2 linked regions of the Drosophila melanogaster genome follow. The protein of the gene in region 1 purifies or fractionates together with the protein of each later gene. This does not show direct contact. Each region holds a gene or a part of one and is shown in the gene's direction. Other genes may lie near its edges.

Region 1 (3,511 bases):
AACGTGTTGGCCGAAGCGATCTTACAAGGGCTAGATCTATTCAACTTATAACTTGGCCACGATGGTTACATGCACTCGCTCTCTAGTCAGTTTAAAAATGTATTTTCATATATGTACAATATTTAGTCGGTTGCTGTATTTTTATTTCATGCTGAAACTACAGACTTAAGTTGTCCAGAAAAACTACTAGAAGTACCCTTCGTAAAACTAACAGCAGGAACACGGGGTTTAAGTTAAACTTATGCTGGCTGGCTAGCATTTAATCTTTAATGCCCTAACCTTAACAATTGGCGATCGAAAAAGAAAAACGAAAAACAGAATGATGCATGATTTGTGAATTATGTGATGGAAGAGGGCGGGCCGAGCAGCTACAACTATATATCTTTGGAGGCCAGCGTCTTGCGGGGCTTTGGCTCAGGTGGATCGATAAGATTTCCGTGACGCACCACGTCGATGTGGCCCAGGCGGATCATCTTCTCCTCCCAAACGGAAATCGCTTTCCTAAAACGCACAAAAAAGGTTGTGTTTTTTAGAAACTGTGTTCACTGGTTCAAGACATTATTTGTATTGAGTAAATAACGCGCCCACGAGAAAAAAAAGAAACGTAAAGCCACGTGGTCCTAATATTTAGCACTAAGAAACGAGTTCCATGCCAAAATATTGATTAATATAGAAGCGTTAATAATAAGCATTAACACAAGCACATAAAGATTTCTACTGTAGGCAAGTTGGACTTTAAAAAGTTTATAAAAGATCTTAGAGAAGTTAATGGTTCAAACTTGAAGTAGAGGGCGATTTATCATGAATTTGGCAGAATATAATAAATTGTATCTAAAGTTTTTACAAAAATCTGCACCTAGTTGTTGTTGCTAAATTTAAAAATTTTTAAATCAAAGTTTAAATAATAATCAATATAATTTTACTGTAACCTAGTCAGTGGAATGCAATGAAACTATGATTCAAACTAGAAAATCTGCTAACGATTAGTAAAATTCGCCAACTTGAATGCTGAGATGAACACGCACCTGTAGAGCTCCATCTCCTTGCGCGACTCCTGCATGTAGACCTCCTTCTCGGAGTCGGAAAGGCGAGTCCACTTGGCGGTGGTCTTTTGGTGCCACTCGCGGTAGGTTTGCTTGTCGCCCTGCGGAGTGTTGATACGTTCGCTGGCGATGAATCGCAGGAAGGCCGAAGCGGGCTTTTTGGGTCGCCCCAGCTCCTTGACCCGCTTGCGCAGCTGGCGGCGCTCCTTGGCGTCAACGAGGTCCTGCTTGAGCTGCTTGATCTCGGCCCGCTGCTCCTCCGTGAGTGTGGCATCGTACTTTGTTCGCTCCTCCACGTAGATTTGTTGGTCCCGCTTGAACTCGGCCTGCAGGCGCTCCTTCAGCTGCGCATCGGCATCGGACCAGTTCTTAGACAGCTGGCGCACCACCTCGACGGTGGTAATCTGGGGATTGGCAGCCTTCAGCTTGGGCCGCTGCTCCCGCATGAAGCGAAAGTAGGGAGTCAGCGGTTTCTTTGGTCGCGGCGGCAGGCCCAACTGCTCCTCCAGGGTCTTCGACGGCACCGCCGGAGTGTTGCTGATGCTGGCGGCTGCTAGGGGCCTAGGGGGTGTGAGGGGTCGGTGGTCGGTGTCATTGGCACGAGATGGATCACTGGGTGGCCAATCTTTGGCTACAACTTGCCTGACTTTGTTGATCAGCGAGCCGATGAGGCCGCCGCGCGAGGACATCAGTGTTGTGGTGTAGATCATGATCTCAATGGCGAACCTGCTTCCTTGCGTTGTAAGCTATTTAAAAATCACGGGGAACTTGTTGCATTTACGGAAAAAAGGATTTACGTAAAAAATGCGGCATTCTAGGCCGAGCGTTGCCACCTGGTGAGTTACTTCAGCCAAGTGCTGCCACCAAGTCCCAAGCTTTTGTTATCGAAAGCTGACCATCTCCATTAACCGTAGCCATAACCTTGTTTATTTTGTATTGTTTTTCTTAGTTAAAATTATAAAATCATAAAATAAGATGACCAACAACGATGCGGCCGTGGAGGCAGCCGGCTCCAGTCGGGCCAGCAGCAGCAAACAGCAGCTGAAGCTGGAAATCACCGAGAAGGTGCGAGTCCTGTGCCTGCACGGTTACCGCCAGAATGGAGAAGCCTTCAAAAACAAGCTGGGCTCCTTCCGCAAGTTCGCCAACAAGTACGCAGAGTTCGTGTTCATCACGGCGCCGCACGTGGCCAAGGCACTGGAGTCGGCGGCGGAGCCTGTGCCGGAGCAGAGGAGTTGGTGGGCCAACAAGGACGATGGCTCCTTCAAGGGAACAAACAAAGGTGGTCCCGCCTTCGGCTTTCAGGAGAGCCTGCGCTGCGTTGAGGAGGCGTGGCGGACGCAGGGCCCTTTCCAGGGACTGCTAGGCTTCTCACAGGGCGCCTGTTTCGTGGGTCTTATATGCGGCCTGGCCAAAAAGAAGTGTATGCCATGATTTTGTCTGAAAATACAGTCCTTGTTATAACTATACCATCACCCGTAGTGACCTCCATCCGTCCGGAGTTTGCTGTGCTAGCCTCGGGCTTCTTGTCTGGCAGTCTGGTGCACATGAGCGCCTACGAAGAGGCCATCAGCATACCCACGTTGCACATCTACGGACAGACGGATGAGATCATTCCCAAGGAGATGAGCGAGTCCCTGGCTGCGCGCTTCAAGAACGCCGAGGTGCTGGAGCACAGCGGCGGACACTACTTCCCGGCCACGGCGCAGCAGAAGCAGACATTCATCAACTTCTTCCAGGATCGGCTGCAGGAGTACCTGGAGCACGAGGAGTTGCAGCAGAGCGGCAATGCCTCATTCGTGGATAGCGGAGCGGAGGACGACAACGATGCCGAGGTGGCGGCCATGACGGCCGAGCTGGACGAGAGTGATTAGCCGAGGGACGGGGGTTTTTTCGTTCGTTTTTAATAATAATTAAATCTTATTATTACAAAAATAATGATTTGATTATAAATTATAATATAATTAGATCCCAATATTAGTTAAATATTCACTCTGCTCACGAAGGATCAAGCGGATCGGGTATTGAAATGTCTGCACGTTCGCTCAGTTCGCACATATTGTTTTTATGACTTTGTGTATTTTCTCAACAAATTCGTATAAATTTCATTAAAAAGAAACAATCAAGGGGTTAGGGTAAAATTAAAGCCGAATATTATCAATCCCATTCCAAAGTTCAATTTTGTGTCGGAACCATAGTAAATTAATTGTTCCTTGCTATTAACAACGAAAAATGCATATTTAGCTATTGCAGTTGAGACGGCAGCTTTTGCTTCTTCACCACGCTGGGAAGTTGAGAATCGCAGACAAATAGATCTTCCTCCTCCTTCGTCCGGTCCGACCATCAACTTCGATTTCAATTTCATACATTTCGTTTGCGTGGGACAAGCGAGCGACAGAGTTAGCGGATTTATTTTGTCTCGATTTGCTGCTGCTGTTGATTTTGATGATGTGTTTGCTGCTGTTTGT
Region 2 (4,350 bases), 4.3 Mb from region 1:
TCGGAGAGTATGTCCAGGGCTGTGCGTCCGTTTCCATCGGTGGCGTGTACGTAGATACCGGCCTTAAGCAGAGTGACCACAACGGACTTTTTGCCACAGAGAGCCGCCTCGTGGAGAGCGCTTCCAGCGTTGGTGAGTATGTTGACATCGACGCCGGCCGCCAGCAGTGTTTCCACCACCTTCTTGTGCCCATTCCTGCTGGCCAGGTGCAGGCAGGTGTGCGTGAATATGTGCTTTATGGGCATGCAGCCCAGCAGCTCTTCATTGTCATCTTCCAAACGCTTATACGGCAATATGAGGTCGGGATAAACACGGAGCAAGGTCTGAACCACCTGAAGGCGTCCGAATTGCGCTGCCAAATCCAGAGCCGTTTGAAAGCTATTGTTGCGTATGGCAGGATCGGCGCCATAGGACAGCAAAATGGCCACCACGGCATTGTGGCCATGTTGGGCGCCTGAGTGCAGCGGCGTCTCGTTTTCGATAGTCTGGGCATTCGGATTGGCTCCCGTAGGCGAGTGCATCAACAGCATCTTGACGATGTCCTGGTGCCCAGCCCAGGCAGCCAGAAATAAAGGTGTCGAGCCACGTATATCAGGCACATCCAACAGCGCGTTGTGGGAGAGTAGTAGCCGTACAATGTTGCTATGCCCATTTAGACAGGCGTGATGCAGCGAAGTGTAGCCATTCATGTCCTGGCAGTTGATGCTGGGACTTCGCCTAAAACTGTAAAGGAAAACCTGTAGTAAACTACCTGGAATAACAACAGTTGCTGCTGGTGACTCACCTGGACAGCGGGCCATGTCGTTTGCTCGAGTGCTCCAGCAGTTTGTCCACCGTCTTGATGTCGCCGGCTCGCGAAGCCTCCAGCAAATGCTGATCCTTGCCCATTGCTCCTCCGTATCCTCCAACACTAGGTAGCTACACAGGAGCAGAAGAACACATGTCAAGTTGTTTAGTTTAGCTTTTGCTCCGATTCCAACACAATGAGATCATCGCGAGCATACAGAATACCACAGCCCCAGCCCCACTCACACCCCCAACAAATCAGGTGGCAGCCAGGCGGAATCAGCTGTTTGGCCCTAGCACGCACAGACTGATAGCCAAATATTTTTTTTATACAAAATAGCTGTGAACATTCCACAATAGTATTTTTGTTTATAATATGGAGGGCTGAATGGTGGCTCCGCCTCTTCCAAGGTCATTCCACGGCATTGGACTGCTCCAATTGGAATTTCTTTGTCACCAGCTAGGTTTTATCTTCAAGTTTTAATTTACCGGCTATGTCCACGTCCGTTTCGAAAGTTTACAGCCATAAACGAATAACTATATTTGCCACCGCGATAAGCAATCAACAAAGCTGTGATCTAAACTTTATTTACGTGGAGCCGATCGAGCAATTGTTCGTTACTAATTGGCTAGGGATGGAGGCGTGAGGCGACGACGAAACACACGACACTCACGTACAATCAGTGATGATCAGTATAAAATGAAAGTGTGATTAGTGAGTTGAATGCTAATGCTGAATGCCTTCAATATATTATTATATTATATATTATTACTTATATACGCCCTTTATTGTTTACAATATAATGCCAAAAGTTTTTAGCTACTAAACTTTAGCTAGGTATTTGATACTGCGTGGAATAAGCTAACTACCCAACACTTGCACAGAACAACCGATATTTCCGAGCTACCATCTCTAGCTGCACAAGCCAATTTTTTTATTTTCCCTGGCAAAAATTCACGTTTTTAACCGAAAATTTGACTCACAGCATCATGGAAACCTCGAGCTCCAGTCCAGTAAAGCCCAGGAGAAAAGACAAGGACGAAGGTAAGTGGAAACAGTGAGAAATCTGCCCCAAAACGATAAAGCGAGGTGTGCCGGCACATCGGTGCCTTTGATTTTGCCTTTGCCTTTGATAACGCGTGTGTGAGTGCTGGTGTGCGTAAAAAATAGCCAAATTAAAGTTTAAGGTATGCCCCTGTTTGCCTCGCTTAATGCAAACCCATTCACTATGTTGCCCTTGCAGATGGTCGTGCAGAGCAGGAGGATTCCGCAGATCAGGTGGGCGAGCCGCACAGGAAGCTTTTGCGCCTGGGCGACATCCTTGAAACGAACGAAGTGCTCCTGAACGAGGCGTATCAGCAACCGGAACTTACCAAGTGGCTCCAAACAGCCTGGACGGAGGAGAAGAGCCAAGGGACCAAGGAGACGCAAACCGGTGCTCAGGTCTTCTCGGATCCCTTTCAAATCTGCCTTCTGCCCGGCATGCTGGAGAAGGGCCAAAGCCAGGCGCTGGTCGCCGAGATCATCCAGAAGGTGCAGTGGTCGCGCAAACAGATGGATTTGTATGAGTTCTACCAGAGCGCCGACCTCTCCAACATGCCCGCTTGCCGACTGTTGACCAACTTCCTGCAGGTGCTGCGCAAACAAGTGCGTCCCTGGCTGGAGAAGGTTACCAACCTCAAGCTGGACTATGTGTCCGCCTCCTGCAGCATGTACACCTGCGGCGACTATCTGCTCGTGCACGACGATCTGCTTAAGGACCGACAAGTGGCCTTCATTTACTATCTATCGCCTTGGGAAGGAGCGGAGGAATGGACGGATGAGCAGGGCGGATGCCTAGAGATCTTCGGTAGCGACGATCAGTGCTTTCCACAGTTTCCAGTGCAGCGAAAGATCGCCCCCAAAGACAACCAGTTTGCCTTCTTCAAGGTGGGCTCGCGCTCCTTCCACCAAGTAGGCGAGGTTACTACATTCGACTACCCGCGTCTTACCATAAACGGATGGTTCCACGGCGATACCAATGAGGCCTTCGTGGCCGACTCCCTGCGCGCCTTTCCCCGCCTGAATTACCTGCAACCTGATGGCCTTAATAGGCCACCGCTTGGCCTGTTTCTAAACAACGTGTATCTAAAGGGGGCCACCCGCCGGAGCATCCAAAAGCGGATCGAAGAAAACTCCGAGATTTGTTTATACGAGTTCTTCAAGCGAGAGAAATTCGAATTGGCCCGGTCGCAGCTGTTGGCCGATTCGGATACCTTGAAGTGGCGAAGACAGGGACCCGCAAACGCACACAACTATGAAGTGCTGGATTTGACAACAGCCAGAGGCACCATACTGGAACTACTGCAACTGTTCCGTAGCCACGCCATGTTTGATTTGCTGCGAGATTTCACCGATCTGGATTTGGCAGGCACCGATGCCGAAAGTCCAACATGCAGCGTGGAACTGCAGCGCTGGTCCCACGGCAACTACACAGTGCTGGGCGACGGTTTGACCAGCGAGGAGAACACTTTGGACCTGGTTTACTACCTGAACGCGGCAGAAGGAGCAGCGGTGATCACATACCTCGCACCCGACGCCGAAATGCCAACAGCAAAAGCACCGACGGACGGAAGGCGATCGGACTACGATGACGAGGAAGAGGACGATTCCGTTCTGCTTACTATCACGCCGGTGGACAACGCCCTGAACATAGTATACCGGTGCGAGGGCACCACCAAGTTCACCAAATACGTGTCGCGCAACACGCCCCTTGAAAAGGGACCTGTTTTTGTTATTTCGTGCAGCTACAAGGAGTAGCATGTGATCCTGTTTCACAACATGCGCACAATTACTCGTCAAGGACTATTAACATTCATACCGTTCTCCTGTACAGAAACTAATTTACATAATAAACTTTATAAAACACAAATCAAAATATTATAGTTTTTTGTCGAAGTAATAAAGTGTGAACCCAAAGAACGCTTACGACCGCGATAAATCAGGAACTAATCAAACACTTCTCTTTAACTTTACAGATAAGTTCCGGATCGGGGCTACACTAGCATTTATCGTGGTCATCATTGGAATTGGCGTGCCCATGTGGTGGCGCACCACCACAGTCTACAGGTGAGTCAACCATGTCTGGCGGCGTTTTTCCAATTATACCTAAATGTTGCAATCGCAGAGTCAATTTGCCCTCGACGGAAATTTTGAGTCTGAGTAAAATTCCGATCAAAACGGCTGTGCAGGTGGCCATCTACACACAACAGACCAGTCGTGGCCAGTTGCTCATCGCCGAACTGCAGAACGCCTTCAGCGACAATGGTAGGTGCAAATTCATTATCCATTCATATTTCTAAACGGCATGCATTTCCCATTAGAAATATGGTCTGTGGAATTCAAGCAGCTATCTCCTACGCCAATGACCCAGGAAGCACACACGCCAGCTGCTCTGGAGAAGCTGTTGCTGGAGAACCATGTCCAGAGCGTTGGCGACTTCATGTTCATCGAGTGGCCCAAACTGCAGGAGGAGCTGCTACTAACCACCGAAAGATCGGCACTGATGCGAAGTGATACACGTG

What was found.
Region 2: the proteins of CG5412 (region 1) and sud1 purify together in Drosophila melanogaster (affinity purification with mass spectrometry, with the first as the bait; one large-scale study listed by BioGRID). This does not show direct contact.

The regions. Positions count from the first base shown.
Region 1 is NT_033777.3:20,575,121-20,578,631, forward strand, and holds CG5412 (uncharacterized protein), read left to right. Parts: upstream 1-1,932; 5' UTR 1,933-2,018; coding exon 2,019-2,466; intron 2,467-2,525; coding exon 2,526-2,917; 3' UTR 2,918-3,011; downstream 3,012-3,511. Other genes in the region: TFAM (mitochondrial transcription factor A), read right to left, coding at 375-501, 1,026-1,753.
Region 2 is NT_033777.3:24,915,190-24,919,539, reverse strand, and holds sud1 (sudestada1), read left to right. Parts: upstream 1-1,675; 5' UTR 1,676-1,776; coding exon 1,777-1,831; intron 1,832-2,030; coding exon 2,031-3,586; 3' UTR 3,587-3,700; downstream 3,701-4,350. Other genes in the region: CG11168 (uncharacterized protein), read right to left, coding at 1-723, 785-888; PIG-S (phosphatidylinositol glycan anchor biosynthesis class S), read left to right, coding at 1,777-1,831, 3,805-3,895, 3,954-4,093, 4,150-4,347. UniProt on the Drosophila melanogaster protein: Prolyl 3-hydroxylase that catalyzes 3-hydroxylation of 'Pro-62' of small ribosomal subunit uS12 (RpS23), thereby regulating protein translation termination efficiency.